Arabidopsis thaliana: one gene and its partners. The protein of the gene in region 2 interacts with the protein of the main gene of each other region in a pairwise test. Each region holds a gene or a part of one and is shown on either strand. Other genes may lie near its edges.

Region 1 (4,518 bases), about 12 Mb from region 2:
ATTCACTGTCTTCAACCTGGTCAACACGTGAAGCTTCTGAACCTTTTCTTTCAAGTAAATATGGGATTATGGAACGCCACTTTTACTCCCTCTACAAAGATGCAGTACACAATGAGCAGAGAGATGGAAGCCTTTAGTCCTCAAAGGTTTCTGCTGACACCTTTTCTTATCCTGTGAGTTGATGTTCTGCTTCGTCCGTTTGTTCTTCAGTTTAAAACACACTTTCTTACCATTTCAGAATGTGTGGGGAGAAGTTTTCACCGAGATGGAACCCAATCGCGCGTTGCATTAGTCGTTCACATTCTGAAATCACAGGTAATAACCAGCTAATTGTTTGGAATTGTGGAAATTTGACATAACGTTTAATATAATACTTATGGTTTAATCTTTTCTAGGGGTTGCCCATGACGATGCTCCATTTGTTTCTCTGATGGACATCCTGACCTATCACAATGTAATGTATCCAAAAACCTTGGATTTATCATAAGTTGTAGGAAAAGAGTATAGTGAAAACTTTCTTGAATTGATGTTTTACTGATGCTTATTATGCAGGTGACTGCTAAATTCAGGTGTGTTGTTCGGTTCATACAAGTGTATCCCCGAGACGTCAGAAAACTCCGTGATATCAACGGAAATATCAAATTGGTAGCTATACTAGAAGATGCAACCGCCAGAATCCATGCTTCTCTATATGCTGATGAAGGGGTAAGTAAAACACGATTAATTATTAGTGTTCATTGAAGGATTGTCTAATACTTATATCTGTATATCTTTTTACAGGAAAAGTTTTTCGGGTGTGACGAATCTGATGAAGAGGCTCTAGTCAAGAAGCTGAATAGATTGTTGGGAGGTGAAGAGATGGAGAAAGTGCCAAGAAATCCTCCATGGGTACAATGTTGCTTGTTCTCATTCTACAAACACAAAATGGATCAGTGGGAAAGCAGAAGATTCCGCATTTTTGATACTTGGATCAATGCTTCATGAGACAATCATAATGCTAATTGTATAGTTATTAGCATTAAACAAAATGTGATTATTTATTTACATGGAACCATACAATAAAACATTACATAAGAAAAATATCTCTCTCCAACGATATGTATGGAAGATAATAAAGCAAAACAATCTAAAATAAGAATCAATAAACAAGTGTAATATGATGAACTCGAAGAAGACTATAATAGCATTGACTCTTGACTAGCAATCAAAAGTCAACGTCACACTTGGTCGGCTGAAAAACAAACCCGCTGGTTGAATTAGAGGTAAGAGGAACCTTGAGATCGCACTTGATCTTGGGCTTGAACCTCCACGACTTGATCAACCCAAACTTAAACCTAATCTTAAGTCTCAGCTTGGCATCGATCCTATAGATCTGAGAATTCACATCCTCGTTCAAATCCTTCCTCTCTCCGCCGTCAAGCAGCACCAATTGCTGTCCCACGAGTTTAGTTCCAACCACCGTCGTGTTCTTATGTCCCTGGTAAAACTTCGAGATGTTGTTACTCATACCGAATCGCTGATCACCGTAGTATCCTCTGACTTCGATTTCATCATAGTAAACACCGATCCGGCGGTTAGGGTTACGGATTGTGAAATTGAGATCGAGATTGTATCGGAGGTTGTTGGTTGGGTCGAGTGTGAATTCGGTGAGTTTAGCGTCGGTGACGTGGAATTTGATAGCGTTGGGTCTGAAAATGAGCCAGATGATTAGAGCAGCTATGCCTAATAAGACGGCTATGGTTATGAGGATGTTGAAGATGACGCTTAAGATACAGCAGCCGCAGCAGCCAAGACAGTCACCTAAACAACCGCATCCACCGCCGCGTCTGCCGTGGCTGTGAGAGACTTTCTTCGGCGGTGGAATCGATGGTCCGTAATACGCACCGTTTAAGTCCGCCATCTGTTCGTTAAAATGCCTCAGAGAACGATTTTGAAAGAAAGTTTTTTTTGGTTTGTGATAAGATTTTGAAAAAGTAAATATGATTTGAAGTGAAGAAGAAGAGGCCGTAATATATATACACTGTAGAGATAACGTGTATTAGATAAAACGATTTAATTTGACGCGGTTTTGTTTTTTCAAAGTCAAAGGTGACGCGTCGGTTTAATATTGTTCGATGAAAATTTGATTTAAGTAGAGGTTACTTGCGAGATTGTTATTAGATATTTAGGATTAACAGTTTGATATACATTAAAGATTGTTTCTTAAATTTTACTATATGGTTTCTTCTTCAATTTGACTATGTATACTTTGGTTAAGCTTAATGAGATTATTTCTTGAATCCATATATACATGATTTGGTGATTAATGAGGTTAGTGCCGATCGCATACAAGAATATCCATATGTAGATATTTATTTATATATTCTTTTATTATATAAGACATGTGAGAATGTGATGATACTTAGTGCGGTAGTTAGTTTGTGAATTGTGAATAGTCATTTTTACAATGTAACTAAGCTTCCGAGAAACTTCCCCAAAAGCGACTGCTCTAATATAGCCATTGTTTCTTAAACTTGACGAAAGACTTTTGAGAACAAAAATAGAAAATGTGGCCAAAATATCAATAAGCCTATACAAAGTTAGAAAAAGACAAACCAGTCCCGGTCAAGAATTTCGACATTATATATATAACATGATGAAATGAAATAACTTTGATCTATAGGTTGCAAGTTGAAACTGAGGTGGGGTTTTCCAAATGTTTATTTTATAACTATGAGAACAGTTCTACTGATAAAGGTTATTTAATTAATTATCAATTAATGAAAATGTTTAATGTGAAAGATTTCTCAAATTCAAAGAAAATTAAACATTGCAAAGACTTGTTAATGTTATAATGCTAAAAGCAAGGAAAACTAAGGGAGGTTGGTGTTTAGAGTTGGATGATGTGACCTGTAATTGAAAGGAAGATTAGGTGAAGCCATGCTTTCAAATGTTTACATCTTTCTTCAATGAGAAAGGTCAAGCATATTTAATAAAGAATAATAATACTAGATCGCAACTCAATCATATTAAACTTTAAAACAACTATGGAGGATTTATAAAAACAAATGTAACAACTAAAAAAAGTATTCTTATAATATGAGATGTAATGTGTTTTATTTATTTATTAAAGTAGTCAATGTAGTTTAAGAAATTTTTATGTGTTATACGGTATAACAATAATTTTCATTGTATATGATAAGTAATACACAATAATTTTAAAGAAAAACCTGGTGATGAACAAACGTGTTTGAAAAACTTGTTAGAGTTTAATGCGGTGTCAATGTGTGTGGTGATAAAACATTAAACTAAATTAGACAACAAATATTTCACGAAGACTCCTTCAATCTTAGCCGTTTGGACGAAATAGATCATTGGAATTGGACAAATAAATGATGAAGACTTTGGTTGTTCTTAGGGTTTTGAAAATGGAGGAACCGACGACCGATCCCTATCTACTCAATTCCGATATTCATCCGAATAAATTATTGAGAAATTGCGTTGAATAGATGTCCACTAAAGTTTAAATGGACATATATCTAAGGAAGTAACATATAGGGTATACTTTTCATGTAATCTATTACTAATTCTAATTTGGTGGTTGTCACCATAATTTTGTGTTGTTAATCATTGTTAAAATCTGGAATACAATACGACTCGAAAGTCGAAACTGTATCGTGTTAACCAGTGGACCAATGATACAACTCCATGATTCATTTTACTTACGTTATCCTTTGGTTATGAATGTTTATTCTATGTTTTGGTTATGAATTTCTCTAGATGAACAAAATCGAATCTTTATGTATATATTCAAGTCTTGATCATTTACACGCTTAATAAAATGTATGACTTCAAAAAGGCAAAAAGGGAAGGTTATGTAGACAATTGTGTGTTTTTATCATCTGCTTTTTTACAGTATAACTTCGGTTCCAAACTAGGATTGTATATTCATGGATTGATGGGCGTAAAGTTTCTCATCATGCTGATCAATTACCTAGATTACGTATGGCAAATTTTCAGTACAATGTTTCGAAGATTTTCAATTAAAATTATGTTTATATACAAACTGGATTCGGCAGCGTGTATATGTACAAAGGAAACAAAACACGTGGGAGTTAGTAGATAAATGGGACTAAGATTAAAAAATTGCATAAAAAATCGTTCACAAACACATCAAATATTTGTTGGTGACGAATCTAACGAACAAATTGCGTACGTTATGCTCAAATTGGACCTCGCTCTTATGTACATTTTGAATGTTCTCACATTGGACTTCTTTCTGAAATACATATACATATCGAATATAATAACAATAGCACATGTAATGAATCATTTCGCAAGTTTTCTCTCTTGGAGAAAGTGGATTCCAGATTGAGAATTACGCCTACAAATCTCTTAACAAAAGAGGCAAAATTAGTCGAAGCAGTTGGTTATAAGATGACTTCATTATTAACCCAAAAAATACATAATATAGAATATTCGTGGGATTCGAACGTTGGAGAAAAATACCCTATTTCTTGTAAAATAAGCAACATGATT
Region 2 (4,477 bases):
GGATTTTATTTATTTGGGTACCCAGCCCATTTTAAACCTGTGTTTTTTTTCCAGAAAAAGTAAATATATGGGTTTAAAATTTTATGTGGGTTTTGGGTACCCAGTGAGTTTTAACCCATCATTAACATCTCTAATTTAAACAATATAAAATATTCAAAAAACTAAAACATTAATGGTAAAAAATGGTTACACCGCTAGTGGAATGAAAAATACATACGGTGCAACAATCGGCAAAAAAGATCCAAGATATTTAAAACCGATGAAGAGCACATCTATTGTATTTTAATATTCATCCTTTGTAAAATCCAAACAATGTATTTTTTTAAACTCACAAAACTCTTTAATTCTTTTCTATTTAGAATTTTTTTTATTTTGTATGGTTTGAGATTTCATCTCGTTTTCCTTTTTCGTATTTTGATTTCCATTTTTGTTTGTCAATTCTTCTCAGTTTCTCTTTTTAACTGCCTAATTTTTTTTAAAAATGTCGAACATGGGTTATTAGCGAATTTTGGAGGTCACGATACATCATAATTTCTGAATTTAGAGACCCTAAAATGTTAATATATTTCTGGGATTTGAGGCAAATGCCTTTTTTGTTAACCTATAGTCACGGTCAGGCCAAACATATATATAAACGTCTTAGACTTCACTTCATAGTCTGGTTTAAACAGTCACAGACTCATAGTACATGGTCCCAAATAATTTCAAATCTCATGCAAAAAGAAAGAAATACTAGTCCACGTGACTTATGTCAAAATTAACTACGTAAAATGTTCAAAATTAGAGTGTGTAAGCAAGATAAAGGAATTCTAATTAAAACTTGGAAGAGTAATGTAGCTAATAATATATAACAATAGAAAAACCCCATGAATGGAGAGATCTAAAACAAAAAACAAACAACATAGAGCACTTACCACGTGCAAAAATAACCTCAAATATTACTTTACATTCGATATTAATTTTAAACGCTTCATAGTGATGTAAGAAATAGAAAGATGTATCAGGCTTTGATCTGGAACCTTGAACACTTGATCGATCCGATGGAAATGTCGATTTCGATGAGATTATCGTCTTCATACTCGGCTGATAATTGGATAAGCCTGAAATCTGGGATGTTGTTGTACATGATCTTTTGATCTTGTTTACCAATCATAGTACTATAGTGGTGGCCAATGTAATGGCCGCTTGGTAAGGAGAGCTCTATGAGACTTTCCTCATCAGGGATTGTCCCGTCATCTTCGTCATTATTTTTGACAATATCATTAGTGGTCGTAGATGATAGTTCAGTCTCTCCTAAGTAGTCTTGTTGACTAAGATCTTGAACCTTGGAGTTTGGTTTTTGGATTGAGAGAGGGAAGAAGAAAGATGAGAAGAACAATGCAGCTGAGGTTAGGATGATTTGCGAGAACCCAAGTCCTATGATGTGAAGAAGTGGTGGGGCAAGAAAAGACAACCATGACACTGGTCTCTTAAAACGCAATAAAATAAAACTCATGACCCCTTCGTTCATTTTTATGCTCTCAAGATTCATATGAAAGCAATTACTTTGTAGTTCCACCAAAAAAGATAGAAGAAATAAGATTTCAACCATTTTATATCCTCAGATCCAAAAACAAAAAATGAGAAGAGATGATGTGTGATCGAAAAACTTTTCAACAACAAAAACCCTAGAAAAAATGGGTTGATGTAAAAAAAACAAAAACTGGAAAAGGAGACAAAAGAGTTATAGCTTACGATCGTTTACTTAAATGTTGAGCAAGACAATTAGATTCGACTCTAGGAAAAACAAAAATGGGAATTAGAAAGAGGGAGAAGAACTCCAAAAAAGTTTAATACGTAAATGTACTTCAAATAATCAAAACGGAAAAGGGCTTATAAATAGGTGATTAGGAAGAAGATTTAGCATAAACTATTATATTTTTTCTTTGTTTTCTGCATCTAGATTTGAGGAGTAACAGCTCCCCAACTGGTCCCCATATGCAAAATTTGGAAATACCTATATAAAAATAAAATTCTGGATACCGAGATTAGTCTAGATTTGTTTAGATTATATAGTAGAGTTGAAATACCCAAAACAATTTTGAAAAGATAATTTCTTTTGTATCTTATGTGACGCTATATAATATTTTGAGATTTGTTTTATAATATTTAATATATATTCTATATTAGTCAAAATATTTCAAAATAGTTCATGTAACATTTATGATTTTTAACATATTATTGTATTTTTCTTTCATTTAATCTCGTATATTCTGTAAATTTCGAATTTTGAAAAGAATTACTCTAGTGAAAAGAAATGAGAATGGAAAAACAAAAAAACGACAAAATAAAATAAAATAAATAATCTAACCACAAAATCTATTCTTTTGGAATCGGAGAAGCCAAAAGGCCAAGACCCTTAACTAAACCTTTTAGTTGTACTTGCTCGCCCACCAAGGCTTAAGAGTGTCGGTGAGCCATGTGCAAGCCTCCCTGCTTACCACCTGGCGACACTTTCATTCACTACAATCCAAAGATAACCCAAGTTGACTTGCTAGATCTACGATTGTAGATTTTAAAAACACTTTTATGCTTGAAGCTCCAATTTTAATTACTTCTATTTGAAATAGATATTTTGTTATTTTTTTTTCAACAATATTTATTGGTTATTTTTTTTTTATTTTTTTTTTTTTGTGAAAATTCAATTTATATACGAACTTTCTCTATTACGATTTAGTTGTCGCTTTAATATTTATTTATAATAGTTGTTTTAAATTTTTAATGTATATGTTTTGGAAAAAAAATTTAGTTTTAAAGTGTTTGAGCAAAAGTAAAATAATTTTTTTATTGTTTTTTTAATTTATGTGCAAAAATTTAAAACTAAAAATAATTTACAATGGAGTGAATATTACTTGACGTAATATTTTGGGCTGAATTTAATGAATGTTTGAGTTAGTCCAAATATTTCATACATGTAATGCCACTTGTTGCTTACGCCACACTTTCATAGAAGGGTGTATATTGTTGTTGCACATTATTTTGGGTGTAACGAGAAGGAAACAAAGAAAAAGAAAGAGTATTTGAGAGTGAGAGGATGTGTGTGTCCCCTAAGACTGAACATGCTTATTTTCGGACTATTAACAACAAATTTATAAATTTCACGCACCGAGAAATGCCGAGACCAATTTTTAGGCAATTTAAACAAATTTATTCGGAAAATTTTTCTTTTAAATCTTTTTTTTCCATTTAGTTGATTTAAATCCTTAACTTATTCTTCTTTTATATAAATATATATATATATATAGTAAGTTTTTTTTTACTTTTTATTTAAATACCAAACTTTTGTTAAGTTTGTAATTTTGATCATGTGGTTAAGTCAATTAAAGAAACAAACTAACGAAATTAAATATTCCTTATCAATCTCTACTAAACTATAAAACGACATCATTTTGATTATTTTTTTTAATGATCCATTATAAAATTGAAATTTATTACGTTAAGATAAATCTAGGAGTGTTAAAATGGGTAACCCAACCCAACCCAACCCATAACTCATTTAATTTGATGGGTTGAGTTGTTAAATGAGTTAACCTATTTAAGTAATAATTTAATTAATTATTATTATAAAACAATAATAAATAATTATTATTATTACTAATTATTAATTCATTATCATCAAACTTAAGATATTCACGGATTTTACTTTTTATGGGTTTACATTTTTGGCGGAAAGTTATAGATTTACGTTTTTGGCGGGAAAATCACGGGTTTACATTTTTTTGGCGGGAAAATTACGGGTGTACGTTTCTGAGGGGAAATCACGGTTTTCCGTTTTTGCGGGAAAATCACGGGTTTACGTTTTTGGCGGGAAAATTACGGGTTTACGTTTTTGGCTGGAAAATCACGGGTTTACGTTTTTGGCGGGAAAATTACGGGTTTACGTTTTTGGCTGGAAAATCACGGGTTTACGTTTTTGGCGGAAAAATCACGGGTTTACGTTTTTGGCGAAAAAATAACGGGTTTACGTTTTTGGCTGGAAAATCACGGGTTTACGTTTTTGGCAGGAAAATCACGGGTTTACGTTTTTGGCGGGAAAATCACGGGTTTACGTTTTTGGCGGGAAAATCACGGGTTTATGTTTTTTGGTGGAAAAATTACGAGTTTACGTCTTCTCAATTTTATCTCTGTATATTTAAGAAATTTGGAAAAATATTAATTTTATTAAATTGGTTTAGATGTGTTGGTTAAACTTAAATTGGTATTGGTTTAAAGATTTTAGTTGGTTTAATTCAATTTTACAAAACTTGATGGGTTAATTGGGTAAACCATTGAAACCATTAACCATTACAACTCAACTCATTTTACTCATCAAACCAATTGATCCAATAACTCATTTGACCCATCAACTCATTTGAGTCAAAAATTTTAACTCATTAGGGTTCATGGGTTGAGTTGACCCATGAATTTTGATCAATTTTGACACTCCTAGATAAATCAA
Region 3 (5,997 bases), on a different chromosome or scaffold from region 2:
AGTTTGCACCAAATGAGTCTTTTATTTTTTTAGTTTACCAAGCAACTAACAAAGAATCATATGGTTTGGTTTGAGGAAGCGGTATCTACGATGAACTCGACCAGGTGCTGAAGATTTCGATGATCATATTCATAGTATACTTACTCTCCTCTGTTTTTGACGCCTACTTTAAATTCTAGTGTTTTTTCTTCTCGAGTTGTTTTGTTTTTCTTTATAATTAAGCACAATGATATATTAATGTCGTATGGAATCATATTTATGAACTCTAGGTAGTTTTTCTAATACCTAATCAGCTACTGGTTAGCATATAAAAATATAGGAGAATTGTGAACATGAGTATATATGGATGATCTACAAGGATATCAATGTTTTTGAATGTCATGTTTTGATATTCTGGTTATGTTTATAAAGACAAAAGGAGATAAACAATAAAGAATTAAACAATATACTTTTTAACAAACAAAATTTATCAGCGGCCAGCTTCAATGTCAAGCAATGCTACATTCTTGACGCTGTCATAACCACGGCTATTGGTATCGCCTTGGGAAGACACGATGTTGCTACCAAGCAAGTGTAAATTCTCCTCTCGATACTGATCCGACCAATTATGTTTGGTTGTTTTGACGCTCAAAGTTTCTAGCTCTACAGCTACTTCTTTCATCCTTGGCCTTTCTTTTCCCATTAGCCTTGTACACTCTGCAGCAATTCTTGCAGCTTCCTGGATCTCCTTCAGATTATCCTCGTTCAACACTTGGTCGTCAATAATCTCATGCAACCTATTCTCTTCCGTGGCAGAAACAAAGTAACTCACCAAATGTTTTGAAGCCTGTGGCCGTTCAAAGCACAATGCCTTTTGACCTGAGAGCAGTTCCATGAGGACTACCCCAAAGCTATACACATCGCTCTTCTCGTTCAGAAGCCCTGTGGTATAGTATTCTGGGTCTAAATAGCCTAGAGTGCCTTGCACCATAGTATACCAAGTAAAGGAAAATATGAACATGATTATTGATGATGAACAAACAAGCTCTCAAAGCATATTGATGAAGCAACAAATAAGTGGTTTTCTTTTTTTACAAACAAAAGAGATACATGTGATTTTGTGAGCAATATCAGCGGCCAGTTTCAATGTCCAATATTGCTACATTTTTGATGCTATCATAGCCAATGCTGCTACTGGTTTCGCCTTGTGCAGACAAGATGTGACCACCAATCAAGTGTTCATTCTCCTCAGGATACTGATCCGACCACTTATGTTTGGTTTTCTCGACCCTCAAGGCTTCTAGCTTTGCAGCTACTTCTTTCATCCTTGGCCTTTCCTCTCCCATTAGCCTTGTACACTCTGCAGCAATTCTTGCAGCTTCCTGGATCTCCTTCAGATTATCCTCGTTCAACACTTGGTCGTCAATAATCTCATGCAACCTATTCTCTTCCGTGGCAGAAACAAAGTAACTCACCAAATGTTTTGAAGCCTGTGGCCGTTCAAAGCACAATGCCTTTTGACCTGAGAGCAGTTCCATGAGGACTACCCCAAAGCTATACACATCGCTCTTCTCGTTCAGAAGCCCTGTGGTATAGTATTCTGGGTCTAAATAGCCTAGAGTGCCTTGCACCATAGTTGTGAGCTGCTCTTTATCCATTGGTATAAGCTTAGAAGCGCCAAAGTCGGCTACTTTTGCAGTTAAGTTTTCATCCAAGAGAATATTTGCAGTTTTGATATCGCGATGGATGATTGGAATAGAAGCAGAGGAGTGAAGATAAGCAAGAGTTCCAGCGACTTCTATCGCTATTCTGAGGCGGTGTTCCCATGTAAGAGAAGAATCAAAAATGGAACCGTGCAAGTGATCGAAAAGGGTGCCATTGGTAATGAATTCATAGACCAACAAGGGGACTTCAGTCTCTAGACAGCAACCCAAGATCTTGACCACGTTCCTGTGGTTAATTTGTGAAAGCACGAGCACTTCGTGGATGAACTGATCTACTTGTCTACTGTCTGCAAGCCGAGCTTTCTTTATAGCAACGATAGTGTTGTCCGGCAATATCCCTTTGTAGACTGTTCCTTGACCTCCCTGGCCCAAGATTCTGCTCTCATCATAGCCATTAGTTGCCTCTTTCATGCCTTCCTCAGTAAAGATTTTGAAATCAATGTTTGACAACCCTGCTCCTGAAAGTCGCTGTATCAACATGCCACCACCATTTTGCTCAAAGAATTGTCGTCGGAGCTTGGTATACTTCCTTTGCTTCGTTGCATGTTGTATACAGATCGCAGCAAGCAGGAGGACCAAGACGCCGATTATGATTACTGATAACATCATGCATAGATGATTAGAGCGAGTTGATTTAAAGAGAATCTAGAACCAGTGAAGAGTGTTTACCAAGAAAAATTCGAGTCCGTTTGTATTCGGGCCTCGTGCAGCTCATACTGGAGTTTAAGTCGTAACCAGATGGACACTTACAATCGAAGCCTCCATCCCTGTTTCTACAGGTTTTTGGATCCGAACAGTTATGTGTATCACTAATACACTCATCGATGTCTGACCAAAGGAATAAGTGCACAAGATGCAACCAAAAACGTATGAGGAAGATTATAAACACTCAAAAGAAGAAAGAAAGCAAAGAAATTAATATGAAGTACCTTTGCAACCCTCTGAACGGTATGGATTCCCATCATAACCTTCATTACATTTGCAGATATACCCGTTTCTAGTAGTAGAATTGTAACATGAGCTGTTCTTACCGCATATTCTTGTGCTTCCAGCTTGCTCACATGTCTGGTTTCCAATAGACCAATCTAGTGCCACAGGGAACCTCGTGACATTCCTCAGATTCTTAAGATCTTTTGAAGAATCGAAGTTAAACTTACCATCTTCAACGAGAAAAGCGTAGGTGCAAGGATTAAACTGATATACCGAAGTATTAAATAGATCTAAGGAATTATTAACTTGGTTTCTCAAGCGAACTGAGCCAAATTGGAATGTATCGCTATCGAACGGGACAGAGAAGTCCTCTGTTGTGCAGCAACCTACACCATTACATCTTCCATTTGCCTCTGGTTGAGAATTGCATAATGACAAGCATCCAGTTGAGTAGTTTTGCTTTCCAAAAGTGCTCAAAAGTGATAAAGCGTTACATCCTACTAAAGTAAACTTGTTGTTGGAGGAGAGAGAGAAACTACTACCCAGCTGATACCCGAGGGCAGTTCCATTAGTCTCATTTTTCTGCTCGTAGCATTCAGAGAATCGTTCAAACAGTACACTTACATGGCCACTGTGAGAAATATTGGTCACTTGAATGATGCCAAAGAGTAGTAGCTTCTCTTCCACGACACAGGTGAGATTGAAATTATCATCTCCGGGATAGTAACAACCTGTAGAAATACCAAAAGGGTACTCTATTGTGACGTTTCCACATTTAAGTTTACAATCTTCGCGAGGTTGATGTTGCCCCTTCACAAGCTGAGTATATGCAAGGAAGAAAATAACCACCAAGAACACACCCTCCTGGAACTTCATCTTCTACCTTTCTCTTTCTTTCTCTCTAAACTTGTTTCTCTTTGAGTTTTCTCTCATCGCTTATTCGCTTCTTATAGCTTGAAAAGTAACCCCTGATTTGACATTGTTGAATAATCAAATGTGAAGAAAAGTAAAGATTCAGACTACTAGACGTTAGAAAAATATAAATGCGTCAACTTCTTTATCTGTCCTTTCTTTCTTGTCTTGATTTTTCCAGGAAACTCCAATTTATTGTTCATATATGAAAGTCTCGTTATAGTGACAATGTAGGAATAAGACTCATCATGATCACAACATGCTCTGTTTTCTTCTGCTGTCGTAATAGTAGAAATATGTAGTTTTTTTGTGTGTGTGTGTGTGTTGAGTTTATAAATGTCAACAAGTTTTCGAAGAATTTGAATAGTTCTTGCCTCATGTGTCATGTCGCTGCTTACTCTTCAAGAGGTTATCTATGAGAAATTTCCATGCAAATCCACCACTTTGTTAGAAACTGAATCTCCTTCTAGAAACAGAACAGAGTTAAGAACAGAGAAAGAGAATCAGACTTTGTATCACAATTGGTTTGATCGTCAACATAACAATAAAGAGAAGAACTTGTCTTTCTATTATAGAGAAAGTGAAATACAACAACTGTTTTACAAGGTTTACAACAATTAACTTAAATACAAACCAACAGACATGAAAAGTCAAGAGTTATGACTCTTCTTTCTTGTGACACAACAAACATAACTACTTTAACTTAACAGACACGACACTTAAGTAATATATTACAAACCAAACTCAATTACGACCAGCACTCTTTCACCGAAAGAAACCAGATTCATTCAAAGAAACTGAGGGAAAATCTTGAGAAAAAACTGAAAATACACTGTTTGATGATTAAAATAATCTTTGACAGACCAGACTTAGAGATTTTAAGGGTATAGTAGAGGTAGCTTTCTCAATTTACTAAAGATCAGAGTTTTAACAAAAAAGGAAAATTTGATGGTTACAAAACCACAACAATCTTATGCAGCAAGAATGATAATTTAATTTAGAAAACGCAGTATTAAAATTTTAATAACAGAGCAATATATGAGTCAAGTTGTTTATCAAATAGTCAAGTTGTTCTTTCATACTTTCAAAGCCTTGTATCAAAAACGTTATTTTTCTTGAATATAATTTAACATTACATTCAAAAAAAAAAAAAAAAAAAAAATGTCAAGTTGTTCTTTTGGAGTTACGTACATACCACGCATCTTAAGTTAGAGATTTCTCGTTTACTAGTTTTTACTTCTCATGTAGTTGTGCATATGTTTGTTTATTACTGATCTAATTCCAAAATCATATGTTAACTTGTTTACATTTTTGTCTTCGTCTTGTTGCTCGTGGATATATATAATTGCATCTTTGTAATCATTTCATCATAATATCGATCACGTTGACGGAGAGTGCTTTTCTAGAATCCACCAAATTTTCTCATGTTTTCACTATATATATTACTTATGGTTAAAGATCATAAATTTTTAACAAAATAAGAAAACTTGATGGCTTCAAAACCAGAGCAATCTTATGCAGCAAGAATGATTTTGTTAATTTAGAAAACGCAGTATTAAATTATAGATGCCAGTACCAAAACAATATATGAGTCAAGCTGTGGATCAAATAGGATGTTTTAAGCAACTGAGCCCTTTAAATTCGAGTTATTGTTTTGCAACCACAACAGTATATCAATATCTCTGCTAGTAGATTCATGAATTCTTAATTTTTCTCATACCGAATCGTCTACTGGTTAGCTTACCAATCGAATGGAGTTATAAAATGAATAATTGATGATCTACAACGGATCTCTCGAGCATAAATGTTCTTGAATATCATGTTTTGATACTCTGTTTTTTTTGAAGTGTTAGGAAACATATAGGACATAAGCAATAAATAAGTGGCTTTACTTTTTCACAAACAAAAGATTGATAAATATCAGCGGCCAGTTTCAATGTCCAACCTTGTTACATTCTGGATGCTGTCATAGCCAATGCTACTGGTATCACCTTGCGTCGATAAGATTTGAACACCAAGCAAATGCTCAACCTCCTTGGGATATTGATCTGACCACTGATGTTTGGTTGTTTTGACTCTCAAGGCCTCTAACTCTGCAGCTACTTCTTTCATACTTGGCCTTTCCTCTCCCATAATTCTTGTACACTCAACAGCAATTCTTGCAGATTCCTGGATCTCCCTCTGATTATACTCGTTCATAACTTGACCGTCAATAATCTCATGCAACCTATTTTCTTTCATGGCAGAAACAAAGTAACTCACTAGATGTTTTGAGCTTTGTGGCCGTTCAAAGCATAATGCCTTTTCACCTGAGAGCAGTTCCATGAGGACTACCCCAAAGCTATAAACATCGCTCTTTTCGTTCAGAAGCCCTGTATTGTAGTATTCAGGGTCTAAATAGCCAAGAGTTCCTTGAACCATAGTTGTGAGCTGCTCTTGGTCCATCGGTATC

What was found. The genes of interacting proteins can lie anywhere in the genome.
Region 1: the proteins of AT5G35870 (region 2) and NHL3 interact in a protein complementation assay, tested with the Arabidopsis thaliana proteins (one large-scale study listed by BioGRID).
Region 3: the proteins of AT5G35870 (region 2) and WAK3 interact in a protein complementation assay, tested with the Arabidopsis thaliana proteins (one large-scale study listed by BioGRID).

The regions. Positions count from the first base shown.
Region 1 is NC_003076.8:1,929,812-1,934,329, forward strand, and holds NHL3 (NDR1/HIN1-like 3), read right to left. Parts: upstream 1,958-4,518; 5' UTR 1,901-1,957; coding exon 1,205-1,900; 3' UTR 985-1,204; downstream 1-984. Other genes in the region: AtPOT1b (Nucleic acid-binding, OB-fold-like protein), read left to right, coding at 1-146, 239-315, 396-454, 553-705, 781-984. UniProt on the Arabidopsis thaliana protein: Confers resistance to Pseudomonas syringae pv. tomato DC3000 (Pst DC3000).
Region 2 is NC_003076.8:14,018,136-14,022,612, reverse strand, and holds AT5G35870 (uncharacterized protein), read right to left. Parts: upstream 1,835-4,477; 5' UTR 1,592-1,834; coding exon 1,001-1,591; 3' UTR 913-1,000; downstream 1-912.
Region 3 is NC_003070.9:7,431,815-7,437,811, reverse strand, and holds WAK3 (wall associated kinase 3), read right to left. Parts: upstream 3,578-5,997; 5' UTR 3,510-3,577; coding exon 2,633-3,509; intron 2,532-2,632; coding exon 2,373-2,531; intron 2,300-2,372; coding exon 1,110-2,299; 3' UTR 982-1,109; downstream 1-981. Other genes in the region: AT1G21245 (Protein kinase superfamily protein), read right to left, coding at 470-970; WAK5 (wall associated kinase 5), read right to left, coding at 5,466-5,997. UniProt on the Arabidopsis thaliana protein: Serine/threonine-protein kinase that may function as a signaling receptor of extracellular matrix component. Binding to pectin may have significance in the control of cell expansion, morphogenesis and development.